Linked DNA regions of Caenorhabditis elegans. The protein of the gene in region 1 interacts with the protein of each later gene in a pairwise test. Each region holds a gene or a part of one and is shown in the gene's direction. Other genes may lie near its edges. The genes, in order: T20F5.6 and sem-5.

Region 1 (13,170 bases):
CGCATTTTCAGTTATTTATCTCGCGTTTATTCATTAATTTTGGCATATTAAACCAAAATTAGGTGCATATCGAATTAAAATGTGACTAGATCAATAAAAACTCGAGATAAACCGCGAAAAATTGCAAAAATGTGTTCCAGCTTCCATGACAAGGACGAATTAGCTTTGGTTTTTTATTTTTATTTTGTCCCGCCGTAAAACATTTCCGATTTTTTTTCGAGAAATCTGTCTGTTGAAGCGAAAGCCCACGGACTCTACAGATTCTTATGGGAAAACGGCTATTAATTATTCAGTTTATGTACTTCTTTTTATTTCTCTTTGCTCCTCAATTTGAACCTATTCACCTAAAAAGTGCTAACACAGATCGATAATAATTTATTATAAACATTCGATTGTCTGGTGGACGGTGGGTCATTATATTGCTGCTCTATATCATCATTCTTACTCTCACAGTCATTTTTATGTGAGTTATCTTCTTGGTCACAAACACTTACCGTAACCCTTTCGGCAGACGTATATTGCTTCAAATTTACTCACTCTGCGGCTTTTTGAACATTGAGCATGTTTTTTGAGTGCTCTTCAGTGGTTAAAGTCATTGAGATTTTTTTCTGACAAATTCTTCGTAAATTTCGAAAATTTTTGAAATTTATTCGTTATAATAATGTACTTTTCAATTTTTGTTTCAATATTCTTGATTTTTTCGAGCGAGAAGTGTAAGTGCCAAAATCTATAAGGTTTTCTTTGCCCGGAATCATTAGATAACTCTTTATTGTATCTTCTGAGGCCACATTCGATTCGGCATGTATATCTGCTTATTGACAACCTCACAGAGCTCGCCGTGGTCACTTTGCTTTGAAAGACGATCAAATGGCCTAAAGGAGTACCCAACAGTAAAAATGTTACTTTAATCTAAATTGATTTCCCCGAAAAATTCCCCATTAAGTTGCACTTTTTCAGAGACTATTTCCACAATTCCTCAAAACATGTGAGCATTATATTTCTTCAAACACATTCCTCTTTTCGTATCTCAGTTGAGAGTGCGTCCTCCTTGATATGTACGACAAAAAAAAATGTAATCCCCATGGTTACCAATTCGAGTTTTATGAATCACGTATATCTGCCAAGGGTACATCTTAATTTTCGACAGCTTTGACACGGAAAAGTTGAAAAAATTTGGGATTTTAGGCAAATTGCCGGTTTGCCGATCTGCCGGAAGTTTTGATTTTCGGCAAATTACCGATTTGCCGTTTGCCGAACATCAATTCACCGGAAGTTTTTAGAGCGATTTTTTATAAAACGGAAAACTTGAAACTGTGCCTTTTTGAAATTTTTTTCCCCGTTTTTTCTAGATATTTTCATAAAATTTGCTAACTTTTCCAAATAGATGTAGGAAAATTCATAAGATGCGTACAATTTTGCTGCTTAAAATTAAAATTCTGATATTTCTAAAAAAAAAAAAGAACAGTGAAAAACCACAATTTGCCTAAAATTTGCCGATTTGCCAGAAATTTAAATTCCGGCAAATTACCGATTTGCCGCTCACCCCTGATTCTGTATTCAAGTATTGTCCGAAAATTTCGAAATATTTGCATTAATTTTTTTTCACTTTTCTTTCTCACTCTCTCGTCTCGAATCCATCACTCTTTTTCTCTCACGCTCTCTCGGTATTCTAATTTCGACGACCTTACAAGCCCTCTAGTGATCACTTTCCTGCTTCGTTCGAGGTGTTACAAGAAACCTCAATGCAATGGGCGTGTCTTGGCATACTGTATTCTTCCTTATTTTCTCTCGGTTATCTCTCTCGTTATATTACCATGGCTGGGACTTTTTTGTCTTTTTTTCTTGATATTTTGACGAAAAATTTATTTTTTGGTGTTTTGGGACCAAAAAAATACTTTCGGTACTTCAAACACTAGTCGTGTTTTAAAAACAATTTTCTAAGAAAGTTCAACAAACCGAAATTAAATTTTTTTTGGTCCCAACCCTGATCTACACCAGAAAAATGGGTATAACATTTGTTTTTTTTTCAATTTATTTTATTTTTTATTTGCGTACTCCAGGAAACGTTAAAAAAAATTTAATAATTAGTAATAATAATCATTTTCAACATTTTCAGCTAAATGGCCGACAAACTTGCCTTCACCACAGCCGATCTCGTCACATGCCTAATTTGTATTCGGGAGTTCGACACAAAAACCCGCAAGCCGAAGGTTCTCCATTGTGGTCATACAGTATGCGAGGAATGTACTGATAATCTCAGAGATTTCAATGCGTTAGTTTTTGAAATACGGGCTTTTCCTTTAAAATGCGCAAAAAATGAAGAAAAATCGATGATTTTGGCGATTTTCAACTTTTTCTAATCTCCTCATTTGAAATACCGCGCTTTTTGCTCTAAACTCCGCCCATAAAACCGTGCCGCACTTTAGCTTTTTCAATTTCGACGCAAATTGTTATTTATTGTGTTGTTTGTCTATTTTTTTTTAAAGAAGAAACAGGTCATACATGTTTTAAAAAAAGCTTTTAACTGAAATTATTTTCAAAAACGGAAAATCTTTTAAAAGTCATTTATGACCTTTTTATTAATTAAAAATTATAGAAACAGCACAAAAAATAACAATTTTGCGTCGAAATTGAAGAAAAACGTGCGGCACGGTTCTATGTGCGGAGTTTACAGACAATCGCGCGGAAATTTAAGTTGATTGAAAATTCGCCCAAATCATCGGTAGTTTTTTTCAAAATTTACGAATTTTTTTGCGGTATTTCAAAATAAAATTGGCTCTAATGCAGCTTTAAATATTAATGTAATTTTTTTGCAGGCCCCTTCTCGTTGTTCGATGTCCGACGTGTCGTCAATTCACTAAAAGACCGGTGGCAGAATCATGTAACACGAACTTCCAACTGATGGGATATCTTGCCGAGAAGGAGAAATTCGAACGAGAGAAAAAGGCGAAGGGTGGAAAACCGAAAAAACCAGATCAAGTGCTCACTCTCAAAATGGCTCGAAGTAACCGAATGGAGATTCATGTTGCATCGAAAAAAGATCTTGAAGGACCTGAATTGTATCTTCGTAAGGATTCCGAAGGAAATACTCATATTGTTGTTGCTGGACTGACGGGATCACCAGCAGAAGTTATGAAGTTTATTACTGAAAATGGAATTAGTATTGAGACGGGAGTTCTGATGCCACAAGTTGTGTATGATGAGGGTCGCACACGTGGCGGGACTGAAAAGTTTGCGAAGGTTAACAGCATGGCAGCTGGTCAATCTGCTATCAAGTGCACAAAGCCACCGGTTAAACTCGAAGAGCTGGAGTTTCATAAGACATTTGAGCTGAAAGTAAGCGAGGAATCTGGATCACTTAAGATGGAGCTGGTGCAGAAAGAAGAAGTTCCGAAGAATGGATTTGGAGGTTGGTATAGTTTTTTAAGACTGAGCCTCAAGGGCGGTGTCGTCGAAAAATAGTAGAATATCGAAAAACAAACATTTTCGATTAAAAAATTCCAGATTTTAGATTGTTCGAAAAATAGCTTTTTAGAAGAAAATCACATTTTTTTTCTTCCTTTTTTTTTGAAAAATCAAAAAAAAAATTGTTTAGAAGTTAAAAAACAATTAAAATTTTTAAATCAAATTTTTAAAAAAGTCGAATTTTTTTCTAAATTTTTCAAAGCTATTTTCCAAAAATTCGCCACAAAAAGCGAAAAAAATATGCAAAAAGAACGGAAAAATTGACCAATCAGCTTTCATTTTAGCTGAAATTAACCCTTTTTCGAAATTTTTATCCGCTATTAAAATGTTTGAGATTTTTAGTTGAAAACTTTTGCTATAAAATTAGCCATTTTCGGGTTAATATTTAAAAAAATGCCGAAACATTTTATTCGAAAAAAAAATTAAAAAATGTAATCCTTCGAAGGGCTTCTGAAAATATTATTTTTCTTTAAAAACATCTAATTTTATTTTCCCAAAAAAAAAATCGAAAAATCCCCCTTTAAATCTATATTTTCAATTTGAAAAAATCAATATTTCAGTGTTCGAAGGATGTATGACAAAACCATCTGCAAAACGTCTCAAAGAGTTTACCGACAGTTGTCCAGGCACTTCAGCCGAAGATGAAGTCCAAGTTATCGAGCCGGAGCCACTTCCAAAGCGTCGCCGTACGAGAAAATAGAATAACCTTCTCGAAGAGATGACTAGAAAATAAATATTCGGGCTTTTCATAATTCTCATCCGCTATTAGTTCTCAAAATTAGAAGTTTTAACCTCATACAAAATGATCTGCATGAAAATATTTCACATTTTATATTAAGTTTCTTTTCTCCTCCACACATTCTTGGTCTCTCCCACCTCCTCCCCGTCCCCCCTCAGCTCTTTCTTTTATCCTGATTAATTTGAATGTTTTTTTGATTCCACGTGTTCTCTTCCGTATCATTTTTCTATTTTTATTTATTACTGTTCCATTCCCCAAATGTTTTTTTCTCGTTTCGTTTCGTTTTCGTGCTCTTTTATTTATTGCTCGAATATTCGAATCGGATAGTCTTTGAGAACCCAATTTTATAAATGCATTCATTTACCTTTTTTTAAATTTATTTTCTGGTTTCTCACGTATTCTGTCGTGACTCCGTTATATTTGTATTCACTACTGTATCAGAATTCTAGGTAAATTTGCCTTTTTTCGATGTTTATAAAAATGAGTCGGCATTAGTACTGTGATTTTAAAGGTACATGACGAAAAACGACCACAAACTTTTACTCCGCTGCGAAACCATTTCGCACAAGCGTGTCCGCTCCCTTTAATGTCCTACTGATTTTCTTTTGAAATTACATTTCTTTCAAGTTTTTCAGAGTTATTTCCTTCAAAAATACACCGTTTTAATTTCTCAAATGGATCCGTTCGACATTGATGGTTTGAATGTTCGACTCCGTGACCTGCAAAGACAATTGCAAGACGACAGTAAGTTACTGAATACGAAAAATTTTGAAATTCAGTTTCCAGCGATCAATACCTGTTGCGCCACGTTGTTGCAACATTTTTCACTTAAAATAAGTGTCAAAATATGGAAAATCTCTCAATTTATCTGAAAATAACCTTTATTTCAGCTGAAGCATTTGAGAAAGTGCTTAAAAATGGCCTGAAAGGTGTCAATTGTCGATTATCGAATTATAAAACTTGAGCTTCATTTTTCCACACGTTTTCGAATGTTCAGGTGTTATTTTCAATTACATCAAGTGATTTTCTATTTTAACGCTATTTTTAATGAAAAATGTTAAAATAATAATAGTGCAATAGGTAATTTTGTAGAATTGCCTCCCACTCGTCCTTTATTTTAATCAATAAATAATATTTTTTATTGCAGTGGAAGAGTTCCGAGATATGGCCCAGATGGACGATTTTGCTCATCCGTTTGGAGGAATAGATGCAGCTATCAACGTCGATGATCCAGTAGATGATGCAAATAACGATGAGCCAGCAGCTGGAGCTGAAAATGTTTTAGACCGGGAAGATAATCAACCTCAGCCGGAAGCAGTTGCCACGCCTGACGTTCCGAAGGCAGAAAATGAAAAAGAAAAGGAGGATGAGGCGGACGATACAATTTTAACGTCGAAGGGCACCGAAATGAAAGGATTGTCGTGCGGAATCTGTTATGACCCGTTTAGTTAGTAGTTATTTGTTGAAAAACATTTAAAATTAGCCTTGACTTCAGAAAAACCAGAAAAAAAACGGTAGAAATCGCAGAAGAATGAAAAATTCAATTTTGCCTCAATTTGGAGCAAATTTGGTCAAAATTGAAAAAATCGTAAATTTTGTTTTATGGTTTTTCTAATTTTAAGTCGATTTTTAAATTTTATTAAATTAAAATCCCTTTAATCCCGCTAAAATGTAAATTTTCAGACACCGGCAAGCGTATTCCAAAAGTGTTTCCATGCGGTCACACGATTTGTCTCCAATGTATCAAAAAACTTCTCAACACCAGAACTTTTCTCGGCGGAAACACAGTCATCTGTCCATCGTGCCGACAAAATACTCGCTACAGCTTAACCACCCCGGCCGATAAGATTCCAACTAATTTCTGCATTCAATGTGAGATTTTATTTTAAAATTTGGCTTCAAAAATCGAAAGTAGTTCTGAAAAACGAAAAAAGTTGGAATTTGAGACTATTTTGAAATTTTTTGAAGCCAAATCCCTTAAAAAAAACAAAAAATCGATTTTTTTTCAGCATTGTTAGAGCAAAGACAGCAGGAGAAATCAACAAAAGAGCCGGAAGCTGTGAAATGTACCGAGTGTCACACGACAGTGAGCGCTATTGAGTAAGATTCTTTGAAAAAAATCGGTTTTTAATTTATATGAAAAATTTCAGAGCTACAACATGCTCAGACGAAACGTGCCAGAAAGAGATTTCCGAGGAAGAATTGAAGAATGTAGACAAAATTGTAAGTTTATATTTAACGGAGGCTTATGATGTTAAAAACGTTTAAATTATAGAAAAACATAGAAATTTTCTGAATTTTTATGGTTTTTAGAAAAAATTTTGCAAAAAAAAATTCTGAATGGCTGAATTATTTTTGAATTCCTCAGAAAATGGCCTTTGGTTTTTTTTTCCATTAAAAAAATAATTTGTAATTTTTGAGATATTTTTTGGTAAAAAACTTGATATCCGGAAATAAATAGCCAAAAAAAAAATCGAAAATTGAACATTAATTCAAATTTTTTCGCGGAAAAATGCCACAAATGGCGTATATCTAGAAAACGCAAAAAATATATACGTTCAGGTCATTCTTGAGCACTTCCTCCAATGCTTCAGCAGAAATAAATATTATTTTCAGATAAATCAAGTGATTTTCTACATTTTGACACTAATTTTCAATTTAAAAAAAATCTGGGACCAAAAGTGTTTTTCCTTTTTTTTTCAGAGAAAATCGAAAAATTTGAAAAAAATAATAATAAAACCTTCAGGAAATGACCCTTAAAATTCAACTTTTTTGATCAAATTGTGTTTACTTATGTTGCTGAAAAAACATAAAAAGGCATATAACTGTTTTTCTAAAAAACAAGAAAAATCACCCAAATTCTAAGATATTTTTCGAAATATCGGAAAATCGAAAAACCCCTAAATTTTCTCTATTCCATTATTTCCAGAAACGTCCGAAGGAAACCCTCATTTGTCGTTCGTGTATCGAAACGAATCACTCTACCCACATCTTCGTCTCATTTAGCAATGTGGCTGCTCAATATGAAGCGAATAAGAAGATTCTTCTAGCTGAATCATTGCTCAAAAAGAAGCTAAAAGCTGTTGATGAGGCGCTTTTAGCGTTTGACAAGACGAAAGCTGAAGCAATTGATCATCGACGAGTTAGTTTTGATATTAATTCTCCAAACGAAATAATTTATTTTTTCAGAGAATGGCAAATGCATTGGTGAATATTAGAAAGGAAGCAGATCACCCGGATTTCTACGAAAGCTTGAATAGATTTATGAGTTCTATGAAATCATCTGGAGAGTTGTTCAAGACGTTGAGCAGCGATTTGGATAAATTTGAAAATTCCTCAAAGGTATCCTTATCAAATCATCTTATTATCAGGGATATTGCAATAAAAATTTAGACCAAAAACCAACAAAAAATTGTCGAATTTTTCATCATACCAACTGAAACATAACATTTTTGGAATTTATTTTTTTGCCAAAAAACCATAAAGCGAAAGCCCTGCTTATTATACTGTTGCAAAAATCAGCGTCGCATAGAAAGAAAGGCGGGGTGTAATTTTGCAACCCTGCGGCACGGTTTTTCTCCCTTACACTGATTTTTGTTTAAAATAATTTTTGTTATGAAAATATTATTGTGAAGATATTTCATACCAAATTGGTTGTGAAAACATGGAATATCCTCACAATCTTATGAGAATTAATTTGGAATATTTTTGCATTCGAAGAAAGAAAATAAAACAAGTTTAATCGAAATTTTATTGAAAAAAAAAGAGAAAAAACCGGCCGCAGTGTTGCGAAAAAAGCCCCACCTCTCTTTCTGTGCGACGCTGTTTTTCGCAAATTCAGGGATCGGTCATTTAATTTCAACAATAGTAATAATTATCTTTCAGGCTCGCTACCATCGCTCGTTCGGTCGTGATGTTCTCCGTCCAAGTGCTTTTCCACAAGAGACGGATGGTTCCAAACAAGAAGTGAAGCAAGCACCCGCCCCTGTACCAGTTCCTCCGGCACGACCAAGACCTGGCCCAGCTCTCAATCGTGAGAGATTCCGAAGACTTGGAGCAGTTGGTGGTTTTGTGGTGCCAATTGTTGGACGGGATGCAAATGCTCCTGGAGGAGTTCGACATTTGGCGAATGAAATCGACGAATTCTTAGCACCAAACGATCAGGGCCTAGCGGCTCATTTTCGACGAATCTTTGGAGATCTTCCGGACGATGATATTGCTATTGATGTTCAGATTGCTGCTGCTGCTCCAGCTGGCGATGCTCCCGCTGCTGGTGGTGGTGATGATGCTGTAGATGGTGCTGGTGATTTTCTTGGGCCTGCTGCGGATCTTCGTTTAGCTGGTGCTGCTGGGGCTCCACTGAATATTGCTGATCGTATGTATCGAAGACATCGAATTGCTGCTCGAGCGCAGTTGGCTGCTCCTCGCCGTGCCAATCGTAATGGAAACAATGTTCGAGATCTTCGAATGGTTCGTCACCACATTTTCCGTGCCATTGCTCAGAATCCGGGATTGCACAGGAACGATGCGATTCAACAGGCTATTGACGGTTTACGAGATTATATTTGGAATCTCGAAGGTCCGTACGCAAGAAATCCTTTTGAATTGGATCAAATTGATATGAGACGTGATTTGGATAATGCACAACAAAGATTGAATCAGTTGGGTGCCAGGCTTCAAGAACTTGAAGGAAATCTTCGAGCAAGAGACGATCCAGCTCAGGATGCTCCATGGCATGATGTAGTTGTCCAAGAACCTCTCAATCCGCTCCCACCAATTCAAGGAATCGAGCAAGAAGTTGCAGATAGAGCTGAGATAGCAGAACTTGTCAATCGAATCATGGGAATGGTTCGCAACGAGGCAGAAGCCGAAGCGAATGCAAATGGACAGCGTGCACCGAAAAACATTGAGATGCCTGCACTACTCAATCCAGACGCCAATCCAGATGCTCCAAACTTCAAAAACTTGCAGCCATTGCAAGTTCAACCATATCTTCGTGACTTGAGAGCTTTAGAGCTTGAATGGATTCAGAAGGCGCAAGACAGAAGAGCTCGCGGCGGTGCTCAACCACCTGTAGAAGATGTGGAGCAGAATCCTGTGGTGGAAGGAGGTTAGTAATAGATTCATTTTAAACTTTTAAATATTTCATGTTTTCAGGCACAGACGCCCAACGCCGCGCCGTGTCGCCTACCCAAGACGAGCCTGCTGCAAAGAGAAATCGTCAGTAAACTGGTCTTATTAATTATTCTTTTTCAAGTCAATCTTAAATATTTTATTTATGTTTTTTCTTCTGTAACTCCCCCCTCCCAATTCCTGTCATCATTATCATTATCACCAGTGGGATTGTACCCTTTTTCTATTCTCGTGATCGTATCTCATGTTCATTCCGACTACAGCTTTTATATTTCCAATACTATTTGTGAATTCTAAATAGTTTAATTTGTTCTCTTCTGTATCCGCTTATCATCAATTCAATTTTATTTAGAAATAATTTCAATGAGTGTTTAAAAAACGCGTGAACCCTTTAAAAAAGAATCTCCCACTAGTTCCACAGATCGTGGAAATAATCAGTTCTCAATAAGAAGTTTCTTTATTTTGTCAAAACGTTCAATTATCATCGGCAAAATGAACAAGACACTCGTTTCGACGACGACTGCCAGCAATACTACGATAAATAGTGCTGATTTGAGGAAAGAACTGTGAGTACTGAGAGAATTGAGTTTTCAGATTTTATTCGAGCAATAAAGCTCACAGTAACGTTATTGCGCAATTCTCTGTAACGCGGACTTAAAGGCGCGGGGACATGCTCGTAAGGGTCTCGCCGCGAAAAATTTGAATTGTACTTAAGCCGTGCTTTTTCATTTATCTTTTTTCTCGTATGATTTAAAACCTGCGAAATTTATTATGGGGACGCAGAAAAATGCCCCTTTTGAAATAACGCGCCCTACTGCCAATTGAAAACGCTCCGCCCGCAAACCATCGTTGGGTATTTGGCGGTATAACCGTTAATTCAATCAGCTTCAATGAACTTCTTTTTTAAAAGAATTTTATGCCGAAGTTGGCGAAATAAATAGCATTTTTAAAAGTTAATTTCGGCATAAAAGACAAAACCGAAAAATGCTTTAAAATTGGCAAAACTCATCGAAAATGTTGAATTTACGACTTTGCAGCCACTTACCTAACGAGACCCATGGTTCGGGGCGGGGCGTTTTCGATTGGCGATGGAGCGCGTTTCCATTTCGATTTCAAAGGGTAATTTTTCTGCGGCTCAATAATAACAAAATCGTCGAAAAAACTGAACGTTTTTCTGCCGGAATTCCAAAGAAACATAACAGCTCGTAATTCAGAAAAACGCACAATAATTAACGATTCGTGGCGAGACCTGCCTTTGCAGCTACATAATTGTATGCATCGTACTTGACGCGCAAATTCAAATATTTAGTGACGAAAACATACACTAAAGTGGTTTCACTAAATAATATAATAAAACCTAATTGCACTGAAAATAACTAAAATACTCAATTTTTCAGCGACAAAATCAATGAAACCTTATCATCAATCAGCGCGAAAGAGGTCCTCTTCATCATCACTCTCAGTTTTTTGGCAGTTTTTGCCGCCGTCAATATGTGCCTTTTGATTCTGGAAAGAAGAAAGAAAAAGAAACAGGTGAGCAGTAATTCCTACAGTATAGCGAGCTATTTACCCAACAACACCTTTTTTCAGAACTCGGTTCCCCAGTCCATCGTAATCCAGCCGAATAATGCGAAACCTGTCAGTAAGCCGGGCAAAAGTGACAAGTCAAAAGTTTCATCTGGATATGAGAAAGATGTTCTTCCATCGAAGTCTATGAAAATGAAAGTTTCCATTTCGCCTGATAAATCTGCTTCCAAGAAGTTGCGTGTTCCATCTAAAGAGTCTGAAGACACTCAGCCAACCAAGTCAGATGCATCCCAAACTGAAAAGTCAACAAAGAAGCCTCCAGTGACTCTTGTTGAATCTTCGGCCGATGTGACTACCGCCGTTGAATCGATTTCCTCACAACAACAACTCGCTCCAGCTGCTCCAGTGGCTCCTCCGCAACTCACTCAAGCTTCTCCGGCTCCTGTTGCTCCAGCCGTATTAGTCCCGGAAAAGGAGAAGACTGCAGACAAGTCTCAATCGAATGATTCATCAATGACCTCGTTTACGGTACCAGAAGAAGCCACATTCAATCGTTCAAAGAGCCAAAGTACTGCACCAAAAGAGCCCACTCCAGCTACTCCAACTGCTACTACTCTCTCCGGAACTTCATATGTCAGCACTACAGGAACTCCGGAAGCAATCAATGTGATCACTGCTAAGGATGTCACCCAGGTATCTTGAGAGAAGCCTGCGCCTACATGCCTACCCAGAAATCCGTTCCTTGATGTTTGCAGAGTATTTTGTATTTCAAACTAAAACTTCAACCTAGAAATAGAGAAAAAAAATTGAGCACTGTAAGGCAGGCATAGATTGCCTTGAAAGGAGGAACCCTTTAGCCTTATGGTGGAAACCACTTACCTTTTGGCTTCAGTTTTGAACCTCTCCATTGGTTATTGTAGTTTTTTTTTTTAAATAAACCTTCTGCCGAGTTCTGCTATCCTTACTTACGAGTAGAACATGAAAAGAAAATTTCAGTAACACAAATATTAAATTAGTATTAAATATTTCAGGTCAAGTCCCCAATGTCCCCAATGCCCTCAATGCATACCCCAGAAGCCGCCCGTACCACGGAAATCCGTCCGATCTCTCCGGCTCTTCCATCTGCTGCTCCACTACTCGTTATCACTACTCCACCACCAAATAGTGAGAAAAAGGTGAGAAGTTACCATTAGTTAAATGTTTATTATCGTTTATTTCAAGATTTGAGGTGTTTTCAATGTTTCCAACTGGATGCGGTTCGTGTGTCTGAAGAAAATCGTCGGTTCTCAAGATCTCTAGTTTATTGTATTTTTGGCTTTGAATAAAGACATTTTAGTAGTTTTATTGGTATTTCACATGTTTGCCTACCTGCCTTCAATGCAACCTATGCCTACCTCAAGCCTACACGCGTGCCTATAGCTAAAGAAAATAAGCGGTCACCTGCAGACTTGCCTGCGTACCGTCTGAAGAGGAAAGAGAGGAGCGGGCTTATCAAAAATAAATCAAGAAGTTTTCCGCGTTGATACAGGAATGCCTGCCTTTAAGGTAACCTACGCCTGAATTCTGCCTATCAACTTGCCCATCGCTAAACTGAACTTTTCATTTCTAAATTAAATTTTAAATAAAACGCAACAATCTACACTGCCAATACCAAGCACAGAATTTCCGCTAAGAAACTGAAAACATATCATAGGCAAGCAAAGAGGCATATAGGCCTTAAGACGTGCATGTTTACCTTTAAAGCTCTAGCGGAGCAGGTGCATCAAAAATCCACAGAACTCTGCCTGCTTCCGTGTCTACTTCTAGAGCAATATTTTTCATTTCGAATTCACTCCAAATTACTTGAAATTCATTAATCTAGACTGAAACCGCACTAGGAGGCGATAGGCAGGCATAAGATAATCCCCGTCACTGCATGCTTCAAATAACACTTGAAACCGAATTGGAAAAAAATTTCTACAGTACTCTTGTGTATGCTGCCAATGTACTTGAAAAAAATAGTGCTTCACAAAATAATAATATTGCAATTTCCCCTTTATTTCATTGAAATTTGAATGAATGAAAAGATAAATTCCTTTTTTTTCCATCTTCATATTTCAATTTTGAAAGCGTGTTTCTCGATTTGATTCCAAATCGCGGCAGGCTTCATCTTCTCCTTTTCCTTCGTCTTTTTCGCCGTGTGGTATCTCGTCATTCAACATTCCTGCAACAATCAGGAGGCAACATTATCGAAATATGAATTATGTCTCGAAAGGACACTCTCTCTCTTAGAATAGGCCGGAGGGGGCTGCTTTCACTTGTTGCCG
Region 2 (10,555 bases), on another chromosome or scaffold:
TTTGTCTTCAAGCGTATTTTCCATAGCAAAAACCAATCTGTTGTCAAAAGAATGTGACATAAGACTTGTTCCGGCCGCTCCACACGCAACAGAATAACCAATATTGAGCGACTTGCTCAACGTCAGCACACACACAGACACACACACACGTTCACTCTCTTGAAGACCATTTTTTCCGTCCATTTCCTTCTCCCTCAATCCATCTGACCTCTGTTTTTGTCATGAACACTCGGAATGAAGGGGGTGTCAGCGTGCGTGGCACCGGGTCATTACTTGTGCATATCTTCCGAACAAATCAATTCTCTCCCCCCTCTTTTTGCCTTTCTTGACCATCGTGTACCTACCACATATCGCGGGCACAACAGACATTTGGCCATCAAATTTTTCCGCCACAATCCTGATCTTATAAGCCGATTTTTGTCAACAGGTGGTCTAGGGTATGCCAGACAGTCAAACGCCGTATTGAAATGTGATAATTAGTATACAACGGGACCAGAAATACCATTTGCCGTTTTTTGTTAGTTTCGACATTACTTCTAACATTTTTATATATCCATTGTTAATGATTTTCTTAAAATACGACAAAATGTTTTAAATCGTACCCAAGTTTATACTGACAGTCACAAATAGCAATTAGTGAGTTGTTGTCATTTTTCGAGAAAACTACAGCACTGTCGCATGTTTGAAACCCTGCAATGTTTGAATATTAATATTTGAAACAGAAGTAGACCACGAATTTTGAGAAAAAATTTTTCGCTCGACGACTTCCAAAAAAGTAGGAAAAACTGAGTAATCATCACCTTTTGAAACGAAGTTGGAAAATTTCAAAAAAAAAAAAATTAAATGTTTTAATATAATATTTGGTCATCTTCGCACCATGAGTGTTTTTTTCAGTTTCCCCACTGGGTCTGCTCCTCCTTTTAAAAATGAAATTTGAAACAATTTGTCATTCTATTTGAAATTTTTGAAATCAATTGTTGAAAGCTTCTTCACTTTAAAGTTCCATATCAAATTATTAAAAACCATGTTATTTTCTTTTTTGGATGAAAGTGTTTGTCTAAAATTCTGGAACGATTTAAATGCTACATTGCTTGTTCACTCCACATGTCCCCAAGACACTTGAAAGCTAATTCAATCAATATAGCGAATCGCTTCATTTCCTCACTATCTCCAATATGAACTTTGACAAAAACAGGTGGCACTCTGCTTGTCACAGAATGAAGTTCAATTGAAACGAGAAAAACATCAGAATAGCGCGCTGACCAGCCACGAAAGAAACTCCGCTACTTTTTCTCATAAATTTTGCTCCTCCGAAGAGAGCTCCTATCTCGCGGCAACTATTTGAAATTGAATAGTCGTCGCTGGTGGCCACTCCTCGCGATTATTATGTTTCTCACACTCCATGTGCATTCTCGATATTTCATTTTAGAAGTGATGTACATTCGTTTAAATTTATATTTGCATATGAATAGTTTAACACTGCATGCTCCATTTTGAATCAGCATGCACTGCAACTTCAAAAAAGTAAAACTAGTACTTTTGTTGTAGGAATAAATTTTGAAATTAGTAAAATAGGTGCAATATGAAACCAGCAAGATTCATTCTTCTCGACATCCCAATAGTATCCATTATTCACAAGAACCCTCCATTTCTATGTGTTCAAGCAAGGCCCCCCGTATACATTACGCACTAGTGTTGAGAGTGATTCATCTCGCATCCAAACCAAATCATTCTGGAGTGCGCATTTCAACACTTTTTAGCTAAGCGTGTATGCATACACAGATCGTTGTCAATATAAGTTTTCGGAAGAGAAGAAGTGACAGATGAATGTGTCTGTTTCTGAACCGAGATGATGAGTAATCCCCTAAGCATCCATTCGTTTTCTTTCTTTCGATGCAGAGTTCCATTTTCTGTATGAAACATTATCGTTTTGTTTTTGTGATAATGTACAAATGAAAATTGTTTACAGCTCGTAAAAATCATAATATTGCTCTTTCTAAATGAATTGTGTACCAATTAAAATTGCGTTTCTGGTGATATCGCCCTCCCTCAGTAAATAGAATAAAACTTTTAATTTAAATTGTTTAATTAAAATTTCTGGAGTTCGATGCTAAAACGTTTCTTTTACTAACGCAAATTTTCAACATTTATTCTGCACAATTACAAGATACTAGTTTTATTGTTGTGTCGAAGTTTTTAATCAAAAAATTACATAAAATTTTAAAGAAGCATTTTTAGTTTTTTGATAATAACCTTTTTCTCATTTCCAAAGAATTAGGAAAGTGTTCAAAAACTGCCTCAAAGGCGCAATCCAACAATATTGAAATGGGTATTTCGTGAGTTTATCTAATGTTCCAAGAGAAATATGTCGCACATCTTTGAGGCAATGTTTTCAAGCCTCTAAATGAAGTGAAACCCTAAATTTAAAATTTGGGTTAAGTTTCTGTTAACGATACAAATTCAGAATGTTTTACTGAGAATGTTAATCTATTCGGTAAATCGGCGCCACTTCTCAACCAACTTTAGCCATTTTCTAACTGTCATTTGCAAAAGTGGCAAAAGTTGGTTAAACAGGGTTTTTACGCTCTAAGCAACTAGAAAAAGTGTGTGAAAGTTGACGAAAGTTGGTCGAGAAGTGGGAAGTGGTGGAAATCTAATGGCAGTTAGAAAGTGGCCAAAGTAGGTTGAGAAGTGGCCACGAGTTGCCGACTACGGAACCTAGTAAATTTATTGACAAATCAGTCACATAACCTTGCTCTTGGAAGTTCACACTGTAAAACAGTGAGAATTTTCAGAAAAGTTATATGGATATATTTAAAGAACCAGTGACAAAATTTAATATTTTGGTTCTTAAAAAAGTTAATTTCAGTCATATATTAGTTTTACTATAGATACTGTTCTTACGATTTTGTATTAGTCAGGTAAATACACATTTGTCAAACTAACTAGTAGTAAATACAGTTGGTTTCCAGCTAGAAAACACTATTCCTTATTATATTTACGTACACTCACCGATTAAAATGTCAAGTATTTATGAGTAACTGTCACAGGTTCGATTATCTTTTTTATATCGGTTAAATTATAGTCTTATTTCGTAATTTTCATTAAATTTTTTAACTGCTAAATAATTTTCCAGCAACTGAAGTTCAAAAATTTGATTGAAGTTGCAATCTATTTATGTTTCCTATCTAATTTATCATCTCTAGCCCTATTTCCGAAATAGTTTTCATTTTTATTTTTGAAAAGAGAATCGGTACTGACTACCCAGCACACCCAAATGTTTTGATTTCTAGACGGTTAGTCACCTCAGGCTGGACAGGACAAGGTGGGAGTGTGTTTGTTGACATTCTTCTAATCGATGAATTGCAATACCCAATGCCTTGGAGCATTTTCAATTTGATTCTTTCTTCTTCGTTTTCTCGTGTTCTCTTATCACTTTTCATTTGTTCTTTTCCGTTTCTCCGGCCATTCATTCAAAAGTGTAAGAAAAGACGTGCATGATGACTGCTGATAGCGTATCGCACTTTTTTCTCTGAATCTCCATTTGAAACCATGTAAATTACAGAACTCATTGCGGAAAACAGTACGGTCCGGCCTGCCCAAACTCGCCGTTGTTTTTGTGTGTGTGTGGGAGAGACAGATAGAGACAGTGCGAAGATGGGAGAGAAAAAAGAGACACGAAGAACGCGTGATAGATTTGGAGTATTAGAGAAAAGTAGTGTCGTAGCATTCGGCACATTTAGTGTTGCATACAATGCGCCGGAATCGACGACACTTAGTGTTGCCCCGGTTTGTTACTCTCCGGTTTCTACTGTTTCCACTGTTTCCCCGTTTTCACGTTCAAACACTCAACTAAAACCACCTCAATCACCGAACTAGTGACCCTGCGGGTTTTTATTTTGCGTTCTGCGTTTCTCAATTTCATTTATCCTTCTTTTTTCTCGCCGGTCCTCTTACTCATCTCCTGTTACAATTTGCACTACGCTCTTCTCATTCTCATTTTCCCTCTCAGTTGTTCCTCTATGCTTTGCCGCTAGATTTTTTTATTGCTCTAATAATTTTTCATTGGCGCCGCGCGGATATGTCGATATGTAGATACAGTCTCTCAAGCAGGCCAATTTATTGACAACAATGTTTGTTCAATGTACTCTGTTATGTTTTATTTTGGTGTTAATTGTTTCTGAAGCTGCAAAGAGTATATTTCAGGTAGCGAGACGATGGAGGCGGTCGCCGAGCATGATTTCCAGGCGGGATCACCTGATGAGTTGTCTTTCAAGAGAGGAAACACGCTAAAAGTTTGTTCAACAATATCATAACCGGGCCCTGATAAAATCAATAATTGCAGGTTTTGAACAAAGATGAAGATCCACATTGGTATAAAGCTGAATTGGATGGAAATGAAGGATTCATTCCTTCTAATTATATTCGTATGACTGAATGCAATTGGTATGTTCGGGAAAAAATAGTTTGACTTTTTTGAGGATTTAATCTATAAGCTTATATTTTAAAAATCAGTCGATCTTACTTCTCGCGGTTTTTGTTTGTATACCCCGCAGCTAGGGCGCGAAGAACTGAGAACGCTTGCGTAAACAATTTTTAAAATTTCTGGATTTTTAGGTACCTTGGTAAAATAACAAGAAATGACGCAGAAGTATTGCTGAAAAAGCCAACCGTACGTGATGGTCATTTCCTTGTCCGACAGTGTGAAAGTAGTCCAGGAGAATTTTCGATCAGTGTTCGGTAAGAAGATGTTATAGATTTTCAAAAAGTTATACATTTTTTTCCAGATTCCAAGATTCTGTACAACATTTCAAAGTTTTGCGTGATCAAAATGGTAAATATTACTTGTGGGCTGTCAAATTCAACTCTTTGAATGAATTAGTTGCTTATCACAGGTGAGTCACACTTTTTCAAAAAAAAAGTAAAAAATCAATAATTTTCAGAACCGCTTCTGTTTCGCGTACTCACACAATATTGCTGTCAGATATGAATGTGGAGACTAAATTTGTACAGGCCCTGTTTGATTTCAACCCACAGGAGAGTGGAGAGCTAGCTTTCAAAAGAGGAGATGTTATCACTTGTAAGTGTTTTTGAAACACAAATTTTCATGATTTTAAAATGTTCAATTGAAAGTTTGAATCAAAAAATTCTAGGTTTAATTGAAAATGGTAAAAATGGATATATCTTGGACTGTATTTCGAAAATTTTGAAACTATTCACTTTATAGATCTTAAAACAAGAATATTTAAGAAGAACCATAAAAATAACAAAAAGGTAATACAAAGTACTAGGAAGATAATATGAGACGTCTTGCTTAAACTAACTTTCACTGGAACAAATAAATGCACGTATTGAAAATCAGTTGTTAGATTAGTTTTTGTATAAACTCAAATTGAAATGAAAAAACTCTGTGGCTATTATTTACTTTTCGGAGAAACATTGGATTTCAAGATACAATTTGCAGCATTATGAATGTTCACAACGTAAAAATAGAGTTAATCGGTTGATCATCTATTTGTCGGGGTTGAGCAACCCCGAAAAATAAAACATTTAGAAAATCTCTTATATTTTATTTTCAGTGATCAACAAAGACGATCCAAACTGGTGGGAAGGACAGCTGAACAACAGGCGTGGAATTTTCCCATCCAACTACGTATGCCCTTACAATAGCAATAAGAGCAACTCCAACGTGGCTCCTGGCTTCAACTTTGGAAATTAGGACGTTATTTTAGGATTTTTCCTGTCTCTGTTCGTTCTTTAAAAGGAGCGTTCAATGTTTCTTCTATACCATTTGTTCTTGACATAGTAGTCTAATAAGCCCTCTCTTACTTAATCTCCAATAATAATCACTAAATCTTGTCACAAACACACTTTCCAATGCTGGGTATTAATTTCACAACTTTCTCAAAACTGAGATAAGTTGTTCGTGTTTTACATGTAGACCATGAATTTTCAATGTTTTTATTCTTTGCAACTTGGAACTGCCATTGGCAATGTTTTATCGATTTTTTGTTCGGTTTCGTTGGCAATGATACAATTCTTGTTGTGTTATCAACAGCCTTTTCTTTCCCGCTTTCTTCCAACCCCACACCAATTCTATTACGGATCTATTAAGCGATTAGATACTCTGACACAATACTCAGAGACTGTTCGCATTTGTTTTTTTTTGTGTTCATGCAATTTTTGTCATAACTATTTGCCATTTCTCGTCATTGTCTCTCTTTTTCTTTTGACATTTTGCAATTCATCCAAAACCAATACGATTTTTCGTTCGGTGCTACATTGTTCGGTTTTATCACAACTCACACTGTTCTGATATAGTTTTATCACTTCATTCTATTCCTCCGGCTCAATCTCTTGTCGAGAGCATCATGAAGCTTCTCTCTGCCTCCCACTTTACTCGCCGTCTTGCTTTTATATCGAATTTGTCAAGTATTTTCCAATCCCTTTGTAAATCAATGAAGGTTAATAATTATTATATTAATCCACTTTCTATAATTTTTACAGAACATAATTTGTAGATGCAAAGTAGTTTATCTGGAAAATTTTGCATGTGGAGTTTCCTTTAATGACATTTTCACATTTTGCAAGCTAGTTTGAACAAAATACTCAGACATTTCGAATTTTAATAAAAGTCTTCTCCGATTAGTTTTAAAGTTTATACGGCTCTAAAAACGAAATTAAACCATTAGTTAAAATTCTATAACGAGTCAATGATAATAATTAAAATGAGCGTAATGGGTTGTGAAATCTTTTGTCAACGGAAAAGGTGAAGTGGTATGTTTTTCGAACTTAAAAATCAATTTTTTTTCAACCAAAAAGCGCGCCGTCTTTACTTATTTCTTGGATATACCAGATAACAATTTATTCTAAATTTTAAGTTATTTTTTTAAATTATAATTTGTGAGTCTCAAAAATGCAATAGTGCTCTCAATTTTTTTAAAGCAACGTTAATGTCTTTTGCTTTACCACACCTTTGATTAACAATTGAATTTTGAAAGAAAACGTAACAATATAAAGCCGTATATATTCGTTGTTTCGTGATATCACGAATTTACAGACCGTTTTATAGTCTCAAAACGACAATTGGAAGCTTGATGCTCAGTTGACGTAATTATATTCCATGGAAAACATTTTTTGCATTGAAAACCTTTTAAAAATTCGCAATTTGAAATGTATGCAAGTTGTTTATGAGCAAAATTGGCAGGATTTAAATTTCCAAAAGGAGTCGGGCTGAATTTATTTTGATGAATACGGAAAAAACTGCAACGTGCAATTTAATTGAACATGTTTCACCTATTGTTTTAATTATGCTCAAAAAGAAAAAAAATAAAGTAAATTTTTATTCCTTTTTTTAAAATAATACTTTTGAAAACCTCAAACGAAACGCAAAAAGCAATCATGTTTCAAGGGCACTCGAGATGAGCCAAACGTTTCTATGCCACGCAAAAGCCAAGTCAAGTCTCGTTTAAACACGTGTGCTCACTATCCCTGCTCCCTTTTCGTATTTTGTCTGCACCTTTGCAACTGCCAGTCTCACTCGTTTATGTTTTCGTCCTTCTTTAAATTTAGTATATTGGTTTTTTCCCATTGATTATCTTTCTAAAAAAACGTTTTTTTGTTCAGCCAGGCATGGCTTTTGACCCAGATCAGCCACGATATGATCAATCAACATTTTACGGCCGACTGCGGCATTTCGCTGGAATGACAGATCCACTGATTGCATTTTCTTCAACAACAGAACTCATTACTGCATCGGAGTTAATGCAAAAATGCAGGTATAATTTTTTTAATATTAGGCTGTACACGTAAAACAAATTGAATTTTTGATTTAACCAAAACATTTATTATCAGAAAAAGTTAAATTACATATTACAATAGCTGTATTTTTTCTTAAGTATTTAGAGTGAAATAACGGATATAAGAGCTTTAAGGGTCTGAGTTTGAAGTAATTCAAGCAACATTAAAAATTTCACAAAATTTGTGTTAAATACAGTTTTGTAATATCTTTGAAGAAATTTTTTCAAAAATAAAAAAAACGTTTACAGAGAGAAGAAGCCAGTGCCGGCAACACTTGAGGAACTTCATCGTTCGCAACGTCTGTGTCAATCAGCTTTTCATCCGGATACTGGAGAACTTCAGAACTTTGCTGGAAGGATGTGCTTCAACGTCTGGGGTGGTACAATGCTGTGTGGTGCAATGATGATCTGGTAAGTGAAAAAGTATTGCTAAAAGTAAGCTAAAAGGTAAAAGTAAGTAAAAGTATAAAAGTAAGTAAACCAATTACTGTTCCAGGTACAAATCGACGCCAGCTGTAATTTTCTGGCAATGGGCAAATCAGTCATTTAATGCACTGGTCAATTATACCAATCGAAATGCAAAGAGCACATTGACAACAAAAGACTTAGTTGTATCGTATTCTACAGCAGTGTCTGGAGCACTGGCAATGGCAATTGGGCTGAAAACATATTTTGCTAAGAAACAGAGCAGTCCTTTGGCTCAACGATTAGTACCACTGGGAGCCGTTGCAGTGGCTAATGCTATTAACATCCCTATGATGCGTCAGAAGTGAGTACTTATTAGAGAATAATCAGTATTTTTTAGTTTCAACCAAGTTTTTAAATGTTTTTAATCCGAGGTTAACTTTGTAGCCCTGAATCTGAAAGCTTTGAAATTTAGGAGTACAGAAATTTAAAGTTTGCTTTCTTATCAGTGATTTATTTTGAAACCCATTCAAAATTAAAATCAAAACGTAAAACTCCTAAAATCATTCCGCTTTTGACTTTTTTCTTATATGCAATAAGTTATTAATAATGAAGAGAGGTCAATGAAAAACTGGATTTTCTAAAATAAGGCTGTCTATGATGTTGCAGCTGAACCATTATGGTATTTTTATTTTGTAAACTGAAGACCATCTACTTTTGTATTCAACTAGAAACCGTAAAAAAAATTCGGAAATGTGTTGACCTATAAATTGAGGTTTTTCACGTTATTGTTGGCATATGGGTATAATTTTATGAGTTGAATTTAAATAGTGGAAATGTTGACTCTTCAAAAAGTTCTTTAAATCATTTTTTTAAAGTGAACTCAAAGAAGGTATGACTGTCACTGATGCCGATGGAAACAACGTTGGAGTTTCCCGGTTAGCCGCAGCTAAAGCCATCTCCCTGGTGGTTCTCTCCAGAAATATTATCGTTGCCCCATGCATGAGTGAGTTTAGCCGTTACTCTTTTCCTGTCATGCTTCATGCCTCATTTTAGTCCTCACTCCTGTCATCATGGAAGGCTTGAACAAAGTGGCCTCATTCCGGAAGCATATCAACAAACTCAACATTCCAACTCAATTGGCTTTAACTTTTGTGATGTGAGAGAGCAGTCATATTTCTAGACAACAAATGTGAATTTTAGTTATGGTGCAATGATTCCTGTCGGATGCGCTCTCTTCCCTCAGCAAAACTCTGTGAAGCTTTCAACATTGAAAAGATGGGAGCCCGAAGCCTTTGAAAAACTGAAAAATATCAAGGGAGATCGAGTGTACTTCAACAAAGGATTATAAGCGATTTATGAGCTTTTAGTTAACTAAACATAGATTTCAGCTTAATTTATTTCCGTGCAAATTGGTATTTAGAATGATTCGTTGTAGACATTTCTTGAATTGTGCAATTAATAACATCTGTGCAATTGTCTACTTATCAGTTTTTAAAAATTCCAGCATAATAAATTTAATCATAACTAAACAAAAATATATTTACATTTTATTAAAATGCGTGGTTTTGTAACAGTATTTTAGAAATATTTACAATTTGTGATGACAGAAAAACATGGAAAAGCAAGTTTCAGAATCAAAATGCCCAGGTAACAGCAAAGAAAAAGTCGTAATTACATTCAGTGTATAAAGCTATATTATGTACATAATTAATTTAAAATTACCTAATCGTGAGAGCAAATCGCGATTAGATGTGTTGAATTCAAAACTGTAGTAGGAATGTTTTGAGTATTAGGAATATTCAGGAGACAGTTTGAAAGATGACAATTTGGAGAGAAGGGAAACATGGCAAAATTATTGTTTATTCGAATCTTTTTGACAAGATGCAAGAAGACTCCGGAAGAATTTTGCAGAGAATGTAGTATTGTGAATCAAAGGGTAAAAATGCCCAATCTCCAGCACTGCTGGAATGTATGTACAGTGAAATGAGGTAAGTGGAACGTTAAAATTTTTGTTTGGAATTATTGACGATGATGTTTGATTAGTTTCCGGCAAACAGCAAATCTGAAGACAATCAGTTTTTCTGGAAGAAATTTCCTGAAAAAAATACTTACCCTACTGCTGCTCCAACGACAAAGCTGAAGATGTTGGTGACTAAGAAACCAAAGACTACGCGAACGTTGAAAAGCGAATCAGATTCGCATGGCAAGTATTGGTAGAGCTCTGGCTCGGGAGAGTTTGGCGGAGTGGTAAGGTTGGAGCCATATTGAACCATACGGACAGTCCTGCAAATTTTGTTTTTTTTTTCAACACAGAATAAAATCGGTATGGTTTGAGCAGGGGTGTCGAC

The links.
Region 2: the proteins of T20F5.6 (region 1) and sem-5 interact in a two-hybrid assay, tested with the Caenorhabditis elegans proteins (3 studies listed by BioGRID).

The regions. Positions count from the first base shown.
Region 1 is NC_003279.8:3,916,832-3,930,001, reverse strand, and holds T20F5.6 (RING-type domain-containing protein), read left to right. Parts: upstream 1-4,839; 5' UTR 4,840-4,878; coding exon 4,879-4,948; intron 4,949-5,351; coding exon 5,352-5,651; intron 5,652-5,887; coding exon 5,888-6,076; intron 6,077-6,213; coding exon 6,214-6,304; intron 6,305-6,354; coding exon 6,355-6,427; intron 6,428-7,133; coding exon 7,134-7,346; intron 7,347-7,393; coding exon 7,394-7,546; intron 7,547-8,089; coding exon 8,090-9,314; intron 9,315-9,361; coding exon 9,362-9,432; 3' UTR 9,433-9,796; downstream 9,797-13,170. Other genes in the region: T20F5.7 (RING-type domain-containing protein), read left to right, coding at 2,121-2,272, 2,817-3,409, 4,026-4,165; T20F5.5 (Flocculation protein FLO11-like), read left to right, coding at 9,830-9,903, 10,735-10,870, 10,928-11,557, 11,896-12,039, 12,086-12,091.
Region 2 is NC_003284.9:7,955,375-7,965,929, reverse strand, and holds sem-5 (Sex muscle abnormal protein 5), read left to right. Parts: upstream 1-4,206; 5' UTR 4,207-4,217; coding exon 4,218-4,295; intron 4,296-4,345; coding exon 4,346-4,446; intron 4,447-4,617; coding exon 4,618-4,740; intron 4,741-4,787; coding exon 4,788-4,895; intron 4,896-4,943; coding exon 4,944-5,080; intron 5,081-5,579; coding exon 5,580-5,719; 3' UTR 5,720-6,477; downstream 6,478-10,555. Other genes in the region: sfxn-2 (Sidoreflexin), read left to right, coding at 7,633-7,778, 8,049-8,210, 8,296-8,568, 9,083-9,210, 9,261-9,363, 9,408-9,555; dct-1 (NIP3 homolog), read right to left, coding at 10,227-10,269, 10,320-10,490.